Linked DNA regions of Bombyx mori. The protein of the gene in region 1 purifies or fractionates together with the protein of each later gene. This does not show direct contact. Links are inferred from orthologs where the notes say so. Each region holds a gene or a part of one and is shown on either strand. Other genes may lie near its edges.

Region 1 (5,425 bases):
CGAGAAACCAATTAGGAAAAGTTAAATTTCAACTGTGCATGCCTCCAGTTACATTCTTACCTGTTTCAAAAAGTTTGTAAGCTTCTTATTAGAATAGGAATGTACAGAGTCAGTAAAAGCAATGGCCTTTACTCTGTCTTCAAAGTCATTTTGCACCTCTTCTGCCAGAGAAACCGTGACAACCCCACCATAACTATGTGCTACAATGAGTATGGAACTTGCATTCGCATTGGATATGTAGTTCAGCCATGCGTAAAGGGCATGTTCCTCAGCGGTGCTACTGTTGAGAATGGTCTTTCCATCTGCTGTGTGATTGTCATTTGTATTTAGTACCACTACTCCATAGTCTTTGGCCAAAGCCTTCTTGATATACGGAATCTGAGATCCTTTGTCCAACGATTCATTGATTATGAGGCTGTGACAAAAATTACATTTCAGAACAAATATACTGCAGGCCTAATTACGTGACCTACTTTAAAACAAGACATGGGGAAAACAAAAAATATGCATTGATTACGTACATATTAATACATAGATGAATAGAGTATTGCCATTGTGAAAGAAGAACAGAAGGGTAATACCATCATTGTACCAACCAAGGATAATGAACAGAATCAGGAATTGAGCCACCATTATATACATATTTCTATATTAATTTTATGATTCAGTACTAAGAAGAAGTTTCATGTTATATATCCAAAGTTATTAAAGTACTACTCAAAAATGGCTTTGCTTGTCTAAATTCAAAATAACATTTGCATTTTGAATTTTATCTCATCATCAATATTATTTATTTTTAATTTTAAACATACTTGAAACCAAAATTTAGTAATTAAGTCATGATACTAACGATCTAGCCCACTGACCAGCTCGCACAACGCCTGATCCGTGAATCAATATTAACAGAACATCTTTTTTATCATAATCTTTTGAAACAAAAATAAATGTTCCATCATTTGAATCCTTTGGGATTGGTAACTTTTGCAATCCAATCTGAGTCTGAAGAATATCATAAACATAATTGGTGATTGCTGAGCCAAGTTCTTCATAATGAGCTTGGCATTCCTGGTGATCATTGCTCACAACAAATTGGAATGGTTCATCTGTTGGCTGTCCATCAGCTCCAATTTTTCTTACTTGACCATCTGTTTGGTAGTAAAAGCATTAAGTATCATATTATTGTTAATTTAAAAGTGAAACTAGAAAATAGTGTAGCATTTAATATCTACAAGTAATACCCTAACAACATATATTAATTGCCTTGGTATGAACATATGGATCTAATGGAAAGTGGTTATCACCACCCTTAAGCGTTGGCACTAAGAGGGTCTCGTGCATACACTTAACTGTACCTGTTTTCAAGTTATTTCTGAAATTTCTTATTGTTCCTATTCATAAGTGGAGGCACTAATTAAATGATATAAAAAATTTAGAATGTTACTTGAATCAAATATGTATCCCAGTTCCTTCATAGTTTTCGTTCCCTCCATTTTGTAATGCACTTTATTAGCACTAGATGCAATCGACTTTCTGTGAGGTCGCAGTCGTACTTTTGATATCGACGTGCGTACTGCGCGAATTACATTCATGAACTGCAACAGAGAGGGTGGTAAGTACGCATCCTGCAGTATTGATCACCTCAGGGAAACACATTGATATATGTTTTATTACAGCTGAATTTATATGCATCTAGGTCTTGAAACTGAAAAATAAACAATCCCCAGGTCCCGGGGTTGGAACTTGACAGTTTGGACTTTGACGTTTAAATAGATAGTCCAAGAGAAAATAGCACATACAGCCAAGTTAGTCGACTGGTAAAAAACCGAAGTTATATTTGTAACTAAATTAATAAAATAGTGGTATTTTTAAAATAATATAGATGGTACAACGTTAATTAACAGCATTTTCTCATGTTATCAACTAAGATTCATATAAGTTAAAGTTAGTAGCATAAGTATAATAGTTAGTTAGTATATGTATAGTTGTATTTTAAACAACTAAAAAAATGTTTGGCTAAAGTATAGATCGAAACTCTAGCAATAATAGTGTATATTTTATATAACCGATAGTGAAATATTTGCGTATTCACATAAAAAAACATAAGAAGCCTCTGATAAAACGTGTTTATTTAAAGCGAAAATATTAACATCATTGATTCCAAAATTTCAATTAAGATCATTTTATTATCATCAAAACTGTTCCTTTTTTTTGTAAAATTATCATTATTTAGAAAATGAAACACAAAACCACCAGTAACTACTAAATTTAATCATTATACCAATCTAGGAACAGCAAACTGAACGACATGACCAGTAAGAAGAACAGAACATATACTCTTAGGCCTGCGTTTCTTTGTATAGCTTGCTTAATCTGTTCATTGGCATCCTTAACGTTTTCAGTTGCCCCGACAACTGTATTCGATATTCTATCTATGTCTTGTTCTTGTTGTAAAACCTGAAACATATTTACACTTTTTACATTTTATGTCAGACAAACTGTTTGTATATCTCATTATTAAAAGCTACCTGCCTACCGCTACTGTTAATTATACTTTTACAAACAGTAATATCAATTTGAATCTAAATAAATCAATTAAAGTATCATGGATTTGAAAAATTTATTTACATCCAATAGTTTACGTATGAAAGAACATCCAAATATGAATATTTTAAGATCAAGATAGTTATGATATGTATGTACCAGTATGTGCAATTTTATAAAGATATAATACACAGACTATAATAAACAACATTCATCCTCTCTGGTGGCAGATATTCTTAACCGCTACTGTTAATTATACTTTTACAAACAGTAATATCAATTTGAATCTAAATAAATCAATTAAAGTATCATGGATTTGAAAAATTTATTTACATCCAATAGTTTACGTATGAAAGAACATCCAAATATGAATATTTTAAGATCAAGATAGTTATGATATGTATGTACCAGTATGTGCAATTTTATAAAGATATAATACACAGACTATAATAAACAACATTCATCCTCTCTGGTGGCAGATATTCTTTTCTTGTAATCTGTTTTTTTTTTTAAATGGCTTATGTATTTATTCAATTTTAACCTTTTACCTTTTCAGTAAATATTTCTTGAAGTTCTGCAATGTGTAGTACTTTGCTTTCAATTTGTTTAACTTCTTCCGTCATACTGTTTAGTTCATTTAACAGCTGTACATTCTCCGACTCAAACATTTGCAACTCTTCTGAAGTCAACTCTCCTTCATCAGACATAATTGCCATCTCATTCTCTGATAAGTCTAATTTTGTTTTTGTATTTTCTTTTTCATCTTCTGTCTCATTCTCTTTTTCTATTACCTTATCTAGTGTAAACGGATTAGGAATACTAGATTTGGTCGCTGGTAGCTCAAGTCTAGACAATTTTCTCATATCTAAAGCTCGCTTAACTCTCATTGCTTTCAATTCACTATGCACTTTACAAACAGCTTTTAAATAAGCATCAATTAAATCTACGACTGAGTCCATATATTCCCTAGTTTGTGGGGTCACTGTAGTTCTTCGATTATCATTCCTGAACTCTTTTAGCAGGTGTGAGCATGTGTTCATGATACGTTGCGCACCGGTGTCTATTTGGTCGCGCTCTTCATCAGACATATCGTCTCCAGTAACATTATTGAAGAAGCTTAAATATTTATCGCGGTGTTCCAATAAAAAGTCCCTAAGCTTTGTAATTTGTGAACAAATATCCTTAGCTGTTGCCATGAAAGCATTTTTTGATTTCACCCTCAATATGCGTTGCTTATCTTCGCTAATCGGACTGTGTATGCCGAAAGCCTTGTTACGAGTTTTAACAGTTTTTATGCAAGCCTTAAATAATGGTGTTATATCCATTTTAAGAGGATTTGTTTATGTTTTAAATGTTTTTTCCTTCAATAACACGTAAGTTTTACTCGTTTTTGACAAATTGAATTGACAAATCAATAATGTCCTCACAGAGTAGACACTAACCAAATTCTCTTTTTAAAATTATCCAATTGAAAAGGCAAAGTAAGCATGGCTTTAAGTAGTAATAAATATTTTAATAGTAATAAATATTTTAATCTGTGATGGCTACATGGACTTTTTGGCGGGAACACGTGGAGTGAAGTTGTGTGATTTGTTTTATTTTGTCTATTTAGTGTTTCTTCATGTTAGAACTGGTCTTCTTGCCATCCAACCATCTAACCATCATAAGTTTATTAAGAAGAATAGTTGTTGCCTAGCATTAATTAGTTAGTCGTATAATTTTATGTGAAAAAATAAAAAGTCAGTATGTACATCCGAAGAAAGTTATCAGGTCATAAAATCCCTTAAAAAAATTATTATACACAATCTGATCTGAAGTCTTTTGCTCGTAAATTTACAGTAGCCGAAAGCATTTCAGATCGAATGGAGACGGAAGAGAGACAGAAATAAATGTTACACCACTCTATAAAGCTTCTGTCGCTTATACAGGGTGCCCTAAAAAATAGTGTCAAGCCGAAGTCCAGAGGTAGAACATCACTAGGGCTATCCGAACCACCCCCATGTACGTTCCGCGATTTTTAATAGTTTTCGAGTTATGATTTTTTAAATATATTTTTTTATTTCTATGTTAAGGCACTTTTTTGCTCACTGTGGCGAGAATAGATAAGGTACATGCCTGATATTTGAACACTTGCTTTTTTTTAAAACTCGGTTTCAAAGTTTAGAAAAAATACACAATTTTTAACTTTTTTGTTTCTTTTTTTTATTAGGTTTCACATTTGTGTTATAATGTATGACATATCAGCTATGAGAGCTTCGCTCAGAGCGTGGTGCAGCAGACACGATCAAATTTAGGTCTGTTAGAGAACTGTCTAAGCATGAAGATGCTTAGACAGTTCTCAGTTCAGTTGGGTGAATTGAATTTAATTCAGTTCAACTGTTGGAGTTTGAATATAAATGTAATGGCAGGCAGCACTTGACGCATGATTACAGATTTCGAATATTAGAATTATTTTAAACGTTTAAAAAACAGATGATTGTATTCTCGTAAGAAAAAGTCAATACTTCTAATCTAGACACGGTCAAAGAAACATGTAAGAAGTTTTATAAAAATATAAAGATAATAATTTTAAAATGGTGTTCAAACTATCTGCAATATAATTATAATGAAGCAGTGTGTTTTTAAATAGCCCTCCATCACCTACAGAACCCAATCACCTCAAATTTAACCATCCAACATCAACCCATTGAAGACAGAGATTTAAAAGATATATATACAAAGGCAATAAAAAAAAAAGATCCACTAACGGTGCTTTTAAGTAACCCAAGCACCGGTCATCATTCTTGGTGAACCCGACGCTCGCGACGAAGGGCTCGGCGAGTAAATTAACCCACAGACACAGCCCACTGAGTTTCTCGCCGGATCTTCTCAGTGGGTCGCGTTT
Region 2 (6,084 bases), on another chromosome or scaffold:
ATGTTGGAATAATAGATTTTGGAAACACGCAATGAACGCGCGTACAAAATATGGGGGTCAACAACCTCATTCAGACCGTACATGGCGGTAGGCGGTGGACGCCTACCACTCCTGCAACATCAATCTGCTCATACGTGATTAATAATAAATAAGAACAATTAAATAGTAATGTTTTGCTATAATTATAATTCACCATCATTGTTTTCGTTTTGAATAATATGTCGTCGCTGTCAAACCAAAATCTACTATGGGCACTTTTTGAGATTTTTACGTTTTGACCTTTTTGTATAGTTCACAGCCTTATCCAAAGTATAAAAAAACTGTTATTTGTCTATAGCTTTAATATTTATCTGTAGCTTTCATTTAATATAGTTCTTAAAAATCCACTTTCATATAAAATTTTATACGAAAATGTTTTTACTCGTTAATTCAAAATAGAGTTTTTGCACATAGCTGATTTTGGTTTGACAGCGACGATATGTATTTGTTGTTGTGTTAATTATAAGTCGCGCTCATTTCCCCGAGACAAACCGTAACTATCATGGAATCATCTAGAGAACCCAGAAGTAAAGCACAATCACGAGCACGATAACGGCTCCGGCGGTCACCTTCACCAGCATCGACTTCGTGTTGAGATACGTGGCGTCCTTCCGGTACTTCTGCGACATCATCGATAGGTTTTGCGTCTTCGTGTCCAGTTCTGAAAGTTAAATCACGTAAAATTGAATAACCATATTCTGGAAATTCACGAAAAAAAATTTTTTTCTCCCACCTATGCTGATAGAGTCTATGTCGGAGCCGGATGGTACATAACTAAAGTTTGACCTCTGAAAACACACTGTGGGTGAATGCAGTGGTTCCAGACAGATATACTACTCGCAGTGGTTAAAGATATGGTAGAACATTGACAACTATTATAACTTAAACGTAAGGGAGGTTGACTAAATAACATATTAAGACCGCAAAATTGTAATTTGCTTAATTACTGGTTGTGGGACTTTTGTGAGTCTGCACGGGTAGGTACCACCATCCTGCCTATTTCTGCCGTGAAGCAGTAATGCGTTTCGGTTTGAAGGGTGGGGCAGCCGTTGTAACTATACTGAGACCTTAGAACTCATATCTCAAGGTCAACATCAGGTGGGCCGTGAGCTCATCCACCCAACTAAGCAATAAAAAAATAAAAAGACAGGTTTTCAAGTGATGTGGTGCCAATTGCAAGACCGGTACATTATAACAATATTATACCCGTGTAAAAATTAGATAAAATTAGGGATGGAGGTGATTTATCAATACAAAAATGGAGAAGATGAAGGCATTTACCGGACAGTATAGCTCCCCTCTGCAGCACGTCGTCGATGTTCTGCATCATGATGCGCTGCACGTCGCCCAGCTGCGGCGCCAGGTGCGAGGCGGCGCCGGCCCGGCGGGCGCGCGCGCCGCCCTCCGCGTACTGCTTCCGCGTGCGCTGCATGCACGTGTCGAACTCTATGAACGTGTACGGACGAGTCACGGTGTTCAACTGTGGACAAACTCATTTCTATAAATAACGCTGTAGTTTAAATATCATTGAACACACAATGCAGAAGTCGAGTCTTCCTTTCGGTTCGGTCTTTAAGAATTCGGTTGATTAACTTGAAATGTACTTAAAGTCACTTTAAGTCGTCGTGGCCCAAAGGATAAGACGCCCGTGCATTTGTATGTAGCGATGCACCGGTGATCGAATCCCGCAGGCGGGTACCAATTTTTCTAATTTCAATAATGATATACGTACTTAGCAAATGTTCACGATTAACTTATGTATTTTTTTTTATCTCAGATGTTTAGTTCTTAATACTGGGATGGTAGACCTATTCTGATTGTTTGTATAATGAAACTAAAACTGTAACTCAAATAATGATGCATTCCAATTTGAATATTGAGATATTTTTATTCCAGAGTAGGTGGAGTCAGCAGGTGCTGTTATTCTTGTTCTGGTATCTACATGCTGCCAGTGATTGATTAACACTAAGCAGCTTCTCAGTGGGTCGGTTTTCCGATCTGGTTTTAGATTCTGCGAAGCACGGCTCTTGCTAGGGTTCGTGTTAGTAACGTCATCAGGCTTGAGCCCCACGAGCTCACCTACTAGTTAAGGCGACGCTGATATAGCCTCTCAAGACTATCAGATAAGGTAGGAAAAAAAAAACTAGATAGACTACAAATAACACCCAATTAAAAAATCTGTTCCTCAGATTGAAACTGAAAGAAAATTTTGTAATTTTAATAAATTAAAAACAGACCCTGTGTCCGTACTGTTGGAAGAATTCCTGTGCTATTTCCTCGAGATAATTGAATGCTAGTCGTTTACTGTAGTTTCTTTCACACAGGACCAAATAACATATGTGATTTTCAATCAAATAACTGAAAAGAGAAATTTTATTTCTTAAAACCATTATTTCACAAAAACAGGCATTATTATCAATAGATTAGAATTATGTAAAATGTTCCTTAAGGCGCCACTGTTTATTTTCATAAGCTGCTCGGTATACTGGTGGCTCACAACAATATTAATTGTGCATGTCCTCATGTGAATCTATTACTAATATTATAAGGAAAAATCAGGCAAACACCCAGCAGTCAATGTGATGTTGACCCCACCACGAATAACATGCCTAAAAGTGTATGCGAACAAGCACATATGGCAGTTTGTGATATTGTAAGGTTACTTAGTCACTTAACACTAGGTGGCTTGTGAGCCTGATCACCCAACCAGTACATGATAAAACTAAATGCATAATAACATGTTTACATTCAGAGTTAATTCCATTGCATTTTGAATTTTAGTAGAACATGTGTTGTACATAACAATATTTAATTGAACATATGGCTCAGTACTATCGCACCAGTCTCACAATAAAGACATAGCAGCTTCCAAGTATATAACATAGTTAGTTTTGCAGCTCACATAATAAAACCTAGCAAAAACTCAAATAAAAAAACAAAACCATACTTAAAAATCATTCTACAAAGCCAATACTTAAAAAGCATTATAAATTTTAGGGGTTTTGTGCTAAAAAACGAGTAAAAGAATAGACAAATAATATAAAATTGTACTTTACAGTCCGATTTTAAAACTTGTACCATATTGATATAATTGTTGATATTAAAATGCCCATAAGCTGTAACATCTCTGGGTTGTTATACAATATAAATTGATTTTCACAATAGTCATATTGTATCATATTGTATGTTGCAAATAAGTATAGTAGTAGCATATGTAATAATATATTACAGGTGCACAATGTCCTATGTCAGAAAGTTATGTCTGGCTAAACATTTAAATGGTGAATTAGGTAAGAAGCTACTGTGTACATATTACTTTCAAAAACGTTTTGCATATAGATTTTTTGTTGGACTATTTTTGTTTAAAATGATATAGGTTTAATTGACATAAATGAACTGTGACTCACTGGAAGAGATACGGGCCGGTTTCAATGGAACATCTCATCGGGGACTGAGGGCTTAATTTCCTAAACAGCATTTTAGCCTGATTCTGGTACTCGAGTATATTGCACCCGCTCTGCAAATCATTACAGCAAATTAAATTATAATTACAACAAACAAAAATAATAAACAAAATTGCAATTTAAAAATAAAAATACTAATACATGAAACAAAAAGATACGAAAGAAATGTATATATGACGAAATATGTTATCATAGAAAATGATTATAGAGCATTCTAAATACCTGCTCATCCTCTTGCATAGTGGCAGCCAAAGGCAGCCCGTCGGCGACTCTTGCAATCATAGTCATTAACACCATATTTAAAGTTAAAATGTCTCTCACTTAAACATAAAATTTATGTAATTGAGTTCAACTTTAATTTAAGGTTTTTTCCTTCTCATAGTTTTGAAAACATGAAGAAAACTCAATAGGTTCTCAATACCACGACAGCTGTGCTTACACGTCAAGTGGACTGACATGACAACAACACGTCAACTAGCAGTGTTACCAATCAGAAAGTCACACTTTGGACTTGCTATTTTACGTGAAATTATTGTCTTTTCGATCCATCAAACTATCTACTTGTGGTAAAAAGAGTACACATATTACTTTTATTTTTTATTGCTTAGATGGGTGGACGAGCTCACAGCCCACCTGGTGTTAAGTGGTTACTGGAGCCCATAGATATCTACGACGTAAATGCGCCACTCACCTTGAGATATAAGTTCTAAGGTCTCAAGTATAGTTACAACGGCTGCCCCGCCCTTCAAACCGAAACGCATTACTGCTTCACGGCAGAAGTAGGCGGGGTGGTGGTACTTACCCGCGCGGACTCACAAGAGGTCCTACCACCAGTAAGAATTGAATTGAACTTAAATTTTTTCAGTACACTTTATTACTAGAAGAAAAGCTTTTTTACTAAAACAGGTTTTGTTTATAAGACAAAGGGAAGATCTTGCAATGAGCGGGTGAATTGCTTGGTAGACCAACAGTCCGAATATTGTTGTCCGGAATTTGTATAAAAGTATTGAAACTTATCTTGAAAATGTCGTTAGCGAGACTCAGGATTCTGTAAAATATCTTCGCATTCTCTGATAGCGGCCTTTTGGGCGGGAAGCGAGGAGTGAAGTTGTGTGATTTGTTTTATTTTGTCTATTTAGTGTTTCTTCAGGTTTAAATATGTAATAACGGTGGTTTATTGACTGTTTAATATCTGTGAATGTGCACAAATGTGGGAAAATCAAACAAAGCCGCTGAACGTAACTTCTCGGGATCCTCCAAAAAGTCCACTGAAAAAGTCTCAGTAAATGACCAACCACCATTTTACTGAGATTATATTTCATACCATATAATCTCATCTCATTTAATTTAATTTCATCCCAGTTTAATGTCTCAAATTAATCATCTTCATTTCATTTCATTTCACTCCATATTATCATTTTTCATAAAAATAAGAATATAAATTAAAATAAGACATGATTTAAAGGTCTTAGTTACCAGGTCATAAAATCCCATAAAAAAATCTCTGATAGCTACCCGTTACATAGGTGTTAATATCATGTAAATTCGGATACGAGAAGGTAACGGGTCTAATCAAATAAATAACGCAGTAAACTCCGTATTTATTATAAAAGGCTAGTCTAGCTGAGCAAGGTACCAGTGACAGCATGCTGGTTGCTTCTCTGGTGAACGACTCCCGGGCAGCAGCGGCCGCGGCATTTGAGACTGTTGGTAAAACAAATGCATGCATATGTCGTCATTGGGTGCTTTGCTGAAGTCCGAGGCCCACGCGATGAAGTGGATTAGTCTATTAGCCAGTAGCCAGTCAAGTACAGTACAAGTACTATGCCATGTACAGGACTGGAAACTGAACGGAACAAGGCTATGTGGATTGGGTATTTTGATGAAGTATTTGAATGGATTAGGACTAGATCGTACTAGTCGTGATTGATTACACACACTCATAGAGAGGCTAACACTACTTATAATCATAGGTAATCTACAATATTAACATTGGCAACTGTATTAGGAGTGTTATGACCAGCGTTAAGTTTACAGTTAAGTGGGAGATTCTTAGAAAGTTGGTGTCTTAAATAATTTTCAGATAGGAGAATATAATACATAAGGTTCAATTAATTTATACCCAAATTTTGGCAAAGAAATTTAATTATTAATCTCAATCAAGTAATACCATGATGTTTGGTTATAGATTGCACACTAAATGACAAACTATTAGCGTAGAAGATAACTCAAATTCGTATGGATTTGGAACGTTTGCCTACGTTCGCGGCTAGGGGTGTTGTTCCAACTGCAAATGTTGAGTTAACTTTTACGCTATGGAGAACGTTAAAAAACTCGCACTAAGCGCACTGTAGTAGGTTGCGGCTCGCATGTAGGTATCGCCACCCTCGGTCAACACTCCAATAGATGAGCCATAGGATAATAATAAATAAATAAATAAGTATCATCGACAACTCAATAAAGCGTATTTTTAAATTTATCTCGCGGTATTTGTTTTTAAATTTTAGACTTCATAGGATAATTTCTATAGTAAGCTCAAATTTTTCATTTCTTCATTAAATGATTATTGTGTTTTTAAATC
Region 3 (6,072 bases), on another chromosome or scaffold:
ACAGTTGGGCGAGCAAAGGCTCAGCCAGGAGCGGTGGGATTTGCTACCATCTGCCCGAGCGCACGAGCGCCCGAGCGACAAGGAAGACCTAACAACTTAAGAGCAGCTGCTTTGCAAATAAATCTACTACCGGATCGGAATCGTGACCCGCTGAAAAGATCCAGCGAGAAACTCAGCGGGCTGATGCGTGGGTTAGGTTGTAACTCGGCAAAGAATTCGGGGTCCCTAAACTTGCTCTTTGTCTTAGAGCTGAAGACATCTAGTGCTGAGGATAACGAATTTGTTGGATCCGTAATGACCTGTCCAGGGCGTCAACGTAGACTGGCTCCTTCGTAAGTAGGGTATGGGTAGTAATCAGCGGCGGCAACGATAAGGCGATTATCATAACGCATAGCCTTATCGAAGTACCTAAGCTACGCATATTCGTGGGTAGTTTTCTACTGAGACGGTAGAACAACTGTTATTCAATACAATTGAGACGTCGACCTCAAGTCGCAGGGACCTTCACCTTGTTATGGCTCCAGTAGCCACTTAGCACAAGGTGGACTGTTGGCTGAAACATAGTTTTGTGTACAAATGATTTCTAGCATAAAAATGTCCACATTAATTTTCTTAAGTTTTCGTAAGTTGTTGACATAATTTAAACTACTTTACAGTTTAATTTCCCTTTTTTTATTGTTACAAACGTCAGTCATCCGTGACCACTAAAACCGTAAAAGTAAAATAGAAACGTCGAAAATGATATAATGATAATAAAAAGTGCGAGCAAATTAAATCCTAAATGTAGTTTTAATAATGTCCGTATTCACTTATTCTGTAAACCATCCGCTTAGTTTCAGTAGTAATTATTTCAATTATAGGTAGATTAGCTATACGATTGCAAACCAAAAGTCAACGTTTATATTATTTTCAATCATATGAATAAACACTTCGCCGTCCAACGTCTGCGCTTCAGGGCAATCACTTCCGTTGTTTAATTTTCATCCTCTCACTTCTAGACATACACTACGCACAAGGCTGTTTTATTTCTATTCATATGTTTCTTTTTATTAACTTACGCTAGCAATATTAGCAGATGTTATGTTGTTTTATGCTATGTTATGTATAGATACAAACGTTTGTTAGCAGATAAGCATTCTCCTACAAGGCAAGCATCGCCCATTTGATTTTATAATAATAAATAATAATAAAAAATTTATAAATAATAAATAAATAAATAAATATAAATACGAAGCTAACAGGAGTTTCAATTTTCCAACAGTTTTCAAAGGATGACCTTTCAGCGGGATAGCAAGTGCACATATATACATTGTCCGGACTATCGTACAGTTAACTCAAAGCCGAATACATTTTTAATCAAAGAACACAATTCTAACAAATGTGGATTACTACTCTAATAGTAGGTATCTTAAATCTGTGGTATGTGAATAAAACATATGAGGGTTCCTACGTCGATATAATATATATTTTTGAAAGCTAAAATGACGCTACGAAATCTAAGTAATTAGCATAGCATCAGAATTAACATCAAAATGAATGTGATGGTGGAACAGGGATGACGATCAGGACCTATGTATATTTATTTTCATTTCACTACGTAATATATAAAAATGTAACGAATTTCCAAAACCACTCAGCCACAACCTGTCTTATGTTCCTTGTACTAAGTACTTCAAAACATTCCATAAAATATCAAAAATAACTAGACCTAATAGAACGCGTTGTAGTAATTCTGTAATTACTTAAACAATTGGTACCTTTATCTGTACAAAATTTTAACTCAAATGAAATTGGGAAATCAGTATTAATATTTTATTATCATTTCCTGTCACGAAAATCACGTCCTTAGATATTTATGAACGATTATTCGACGGAACAGCACATTGGCAATGCTTCCATAAATTTTGAATACATATTGTTATGATTTATTGCATCAATAAAAGACGAAAAAAAATTGGGATTCATATAAATCGAAAATCGATAAACTACTAATAAACAAAGTAGCGAAAATATGTAGTTCCAATTTTTTTTTTATTAGTAACTACCCTAAAGGTATGAAATGCCTAAATTCCGAACGGATGTGCGACGTGTAAACTGAAATGTCATTGTGACATGTGTCAAAGTAACATGTTGATTGTAATTGTAGGTTTTCAGCTACGTGAATAATTGATTATTTTCAGAATCTAAAATAAAAAAATACTAATTTATGAAACAAAATTCATATGTAAAAAATAAGAAATGTCTACGCTAAGAGAACGCCAACTTAGTACGAACTGAGAATTCTTAAGTAGTGTCGTTTTAAAAAATAATTATGTACAATTTCATTTTGTTTATATATTTTCACAGATGCCTTGAAACAGATGCTTAATTTAAATCAGCCGCTTACAAAGAATATAGCCAATGAACCGACGTGGAAAATCTTAATATATGATAGAGTTGGACAAGATATTATCTCACCATTGGTATCTGTAAAAGATTTGCGTGAACTAGGAGTGACTCTTCATTTGTAAGTATTTGAAATCAATGGTTAGCTGTTCCTCTAGCATTATTTCTGCATTTCTCAGTAATTCAGTCCCAAAACCGCCTCTTTAATATTTCAAGCAACAATGTTTTAAAACTAAAATGCTTTTTACTGGCAGTGAGCTATACCAAAGCCCAAATTGTAATAAACTAAGGACGCCAATCAAAAACATATGATATTGTAATATAAACATAAATGTTTGCCAATTTTGTATGTTTGTATATAAAATCTATATTGTAATGGTAGCCAACAGATGATCCCTATGATTCCTTAAGACTAGATCCTGTAGTTCAGCTGATTATAATTAATTGTGTTGGATTATTTTCAAACCCAGAAGACATTAGTAAAACATAATATAAATGTTTTTGTATTAAATATCATAAGCTCTGCTTTTGTTTTAGTTTGTAAAAGAATTTCTAAATTCAGAAGAAATATAATAAATTATTGCGAGACTGTACTGGTTAAAAGTACTTTTAAGCTGTTGACTCTATATTACTTGATATTTCTTCTCCCTTAAGAATATTTTTAAATGTAAACTATATATTTCCAGACAACTACATTCAGATCGAGATTCGATACCAGAAGTACCTGCTGTTTATTTCTGTTCTCCTTCTGATGAAAATCTGGATCGCATTTGCCAAGATCTCGATAATGGGATCTATGATCAATACCATTTAAACTTTATATCACCAATCACAAGACACAAACTTGAAGACTTAGCTGCATCAGCTATCCAGTCAAATTCTGCTGTCAATATACATAAAGTTTTCGATCAGTATTTGAACTTTATTTGTTTGGAAGATGATCTTTTTATAATGAAGCACCAGCAATCTGATTCATTGTCATATTATGGTAAGATTGTTCACAATATTATTTATACTTTCTGTGTAGGCTACTCACAGTATGGGGTAAATTATTAGTGATGTTGTAAATTCACTTAAATGTAAATAGACATGCTTTAACAAAAACCGCCTTTCAATAGACAAAAGAATATATTCCAAAACAAATTAATATACACTAAAAACAATAATCATCGAAATCAGTTGGTGTGATATTGAGTTATTAAGTTATTCATCTATTTGTCGCGCACATACTTAATGCAAATTTAAGACTGATATGGTTTTCTCCTGGATACCATTATTAGAACTGGACTAAATTGAAATGGGAACACACGGGAAGCGTCAGCTTTTTAATAAAAAAAGAATCATCAAAATCAATCACCCAGTCCAAAGCTAAGAGGTAACAAACATTAAAAAAAAATACAGTCGAATTGAGAACCTCCTTTTGAAGTCAGTTAAAAAGACAAATTAAATGAAAAATAGGGAATGGCTCTGTCCCGTCATGTTGACAATACTGTGCATGTTATACAAGAAACTTTTCTCTTCTCTACAAATTTTTCTTTAACGTCATTAAAATCAATTCTTTGTGAAGCATACCTAATGCACAGTACTATGCATCATAACTAACCAGACTCTGTACAAATATCATTCACGAAAACACTATAAAGTCCATCTAAACATTTAAACCTGAACCTGGATAATTAAATTTTAAATTTTTTTTTTTTTTTTTTTTTTTTTTTTTTTTTTTTTTTTTTTTTTTTTTTTTTTTTTTTTTTTTTTTTTTTTTTTTTTTTTTTTTTTTTTTTTTTTTTATTGCTTAGATGCGTGGACGAGCTCACAGCCCACCTGGTGTTAAGTGGTTACTGGAGCCCATAGACACCTACAACGTAAATGCGCCACACACCTTGAGATATAGTTCTAAGGTCTCAGTATAGTCACAACGGCTGCCCCACTCTTCAAACCGAAACGCATTACTGCTTCACGGCAGAAATAGGCGGGGCGGTGGTACCTACCCGTGCGGACTCACAAGAGGTCCTACCACCAGTAATTACGCAAATTATAATTTTGCGGGTTTGATTTTTATTGCACGATGTTATTCCTTCACCGTGGAAGTCAATCGTGAACATTTGCTGAGTACGTATTTCATTAGAAAAATTGGTACCCGCCAGCGGGATTCGAACACCGGTGCATCGCTCGATACGAATGCACCGGACGTCTTATCCTTTAGGCCACGACGACTTCATTATATAATCTAAATTATAAATTTTATTTTATTACAATTTATAAAGTAAAAGGTAAAAGCGGGGTATATGTTCCGTAAACATGCCTCAATAAAGAAACCGTGAATATGGAATGATAAATAACTTACATATTTGGGATTACAGAAAATACCTATTGAATGACAAGGTTGATTTCATTCTGTTTCCTTACATTCTTAAAAACGTCGACCGCGGCTAAAGCGGCTTTAGTCAAAGGCGGAACCAATACAGCGACGATATCATTTAATTTTATTATCATACTTTCAGTAGAGGTGTAATAAGGTCTATTTTACTTTAGCCCATTTAACGACGCGCTTACAAAGTATATTCGTTTCGATACCTTCATAATGGAATCCTTTTTATCAATGTGTATGTACCGATGCACTGATTAGATCCGCGAATAGTGAAAACGCGAATGAGGCAAACACTGTACTGTAAATTAATTATGATCAATAATAGTGTGGCAGGCAGCCATCATACAACACAAGATATTTGATATATGCCTGAATCTCGTTTACGACATTTTCAAGATAAGCTTGCATACAAGTACCGAACAACAACATTCAGACCGTCGGTCTACTGAGTAATATCACCAGCCTGATGAAAGATCTTCCCTTTCATCATTATTCCCACAATAGTAAAATAATTTTATGACTGATCTAGTGGCATAGCTAAATTTGGTCAGCAGCAAGCACTGTTTCTTTAGTGCTACCAACCAGTTCACGGTCCACCTGATAAGTGCTTACCGGAGCTCATTGACAACATAAAGAAAACTGCTCTCAAAGTCGAGGTTTCAATTATATTGTATAATGCAGACCCACTCTTCTGACAGGGATATGTGACTGCTTTGCAACAGAAGTAGAAGTAACAGACAGAAATGCAACAGAAGTAACAGTACAGAGTAATAGGAAATAGTGGTATTATTTTCTTCGACTTTAAATTGCTTATTTTGTCTTTCAGCAATAAACAAAGCTGATACTAAGGACACTGAAATGGAAGTGATCATGGACAACATTGTTGAAAGCCTGTTCTCTGTGTTTGTGACAATGGGTAAGCTGTAGGTATAATATTGTTTACTATTATAGCTGTTTATGAGATAATGAACTGATGTCTCTGTTATATCTGATATATCTGTTACCTAAATTATTAAGAGACACACAGACATTACTACATAAATGCTATGACCCAATATCAAATATGAGTTTGAACTCAGCATTGTATTGTAGAATGATTGTTTTTAGGAAATGAATTATACAATTTTTATCAATTTAATACATTTTTTTTATTCTAAGAAGACTGTAAAATTATGTAGACAGCTCTGCCAAACTGATTATTACTGGTGGTAGGACCACTTGTGAGTCCGCGCGGGTGGGTACCACCACCCTGCCTATTTCTGCCGTGAAGCAGTAATGCGTTTCGGTTTGAAGGGTGGGGCAGCCGTTGTAACTATTCT

Evidence for each region. The genes of interacting proteins can lie anywhere in the genome.
Region 2: the proteins of syntaxin-18 (region 1) and vesicle-trafficking protein SEC22b-B purify together in Homo sapiens (affinity purification with mass spectrometry; 5 studies listed by BioGRID and IntAct, counting the BioPlex papers as one, with this or other methods). This does not show direct contact. The link is inferred for Bombyx mori from reciprocal best matches to the Homo sapiens genes STX18 and SEC22B.
Region 3: the proteins of syntaxin-18 (region 1) and protein sly1 homolog purify together in Homo sapiens (affinity purification with mass spectrometry; 5 studies listed by BioGRID and IntAct, counting the BioPlex papers as one, with this or other methods). This does not show direct contact. The link is inferred for Bombyx mori from reciprocal best matches to the Homo sapiens genes STX18 and SCFD1.

The regions. Positions count from the first base shown.
Region 1 is NC_085127.1:13,548,187-13,553,611, forward strand, and holds syntaxin-18, read right to left. Parts: upstream 4,007-5,425; 5' UTR 3,867-4,006; coding exon 3,090-3,866; intron 2,455-3,089; coding exon 2,266-2,454; 3' UTR 2,248-2,265; downstream 1-2,247. Other genes in the region: cotranscriptional regulator FAM172A homolog, read right to left, coding at 61-415, 851-1,145, 1,442-1,592, 1,672-1,689. UniProt on the Homo sapiens protein: Syntaxin that may be involved in targeting and fusion of Golgi-derived retrograde transport vesicles with the ER.
Region 2 is NC_085121.1:559,061-565,144, forward strand, and holds the start of vesicle-trafficking protein SEC22b-B, read right to left. Parts: upstream 3,981-6,084; 5' UTR 3,801-3,980; coding exon 3,726-3,800; intron 3,557-3,725; coding exon 3,447-3,556; intron 2,398-3,446; coding exon 2,277-2,397; intron 1,520-2,276; coding exon 1,321-1,519; intron 701-1,320; coding exon 552-700; 3' UTR 1-551. UniProt on the Homo sapiens protein: SNARE involved in targeting and fusion of ER-derived transport vesicles with the Golgi complex as well as Golgi-derived retrograde transport vesicles with the ER.
Region 3 is NC_085118.1:7,859,739-7,865,810, reverse strand, and holds the start of protein sly1 homolog, read left to right. Parts: upstream 1-2,092; 5' UTR 2,093-2,238; coding exon 2,239-2,266; intron 2,267-2,346; coding exon 2,347-2,506; intron 2,507-3,071; coding exon 3,072-3,373; intron 3,374-5,579; coding exon 5,580-5,669; intron 5,670-6,072. UniProt on the Homo sapiens protein: Plays a role in SNARE-pin assembly and Golgi-to-ER retrograde transport via its interaction with COG4. Involved in vesicular transport between the endoplasmic reticulum and the Golgi.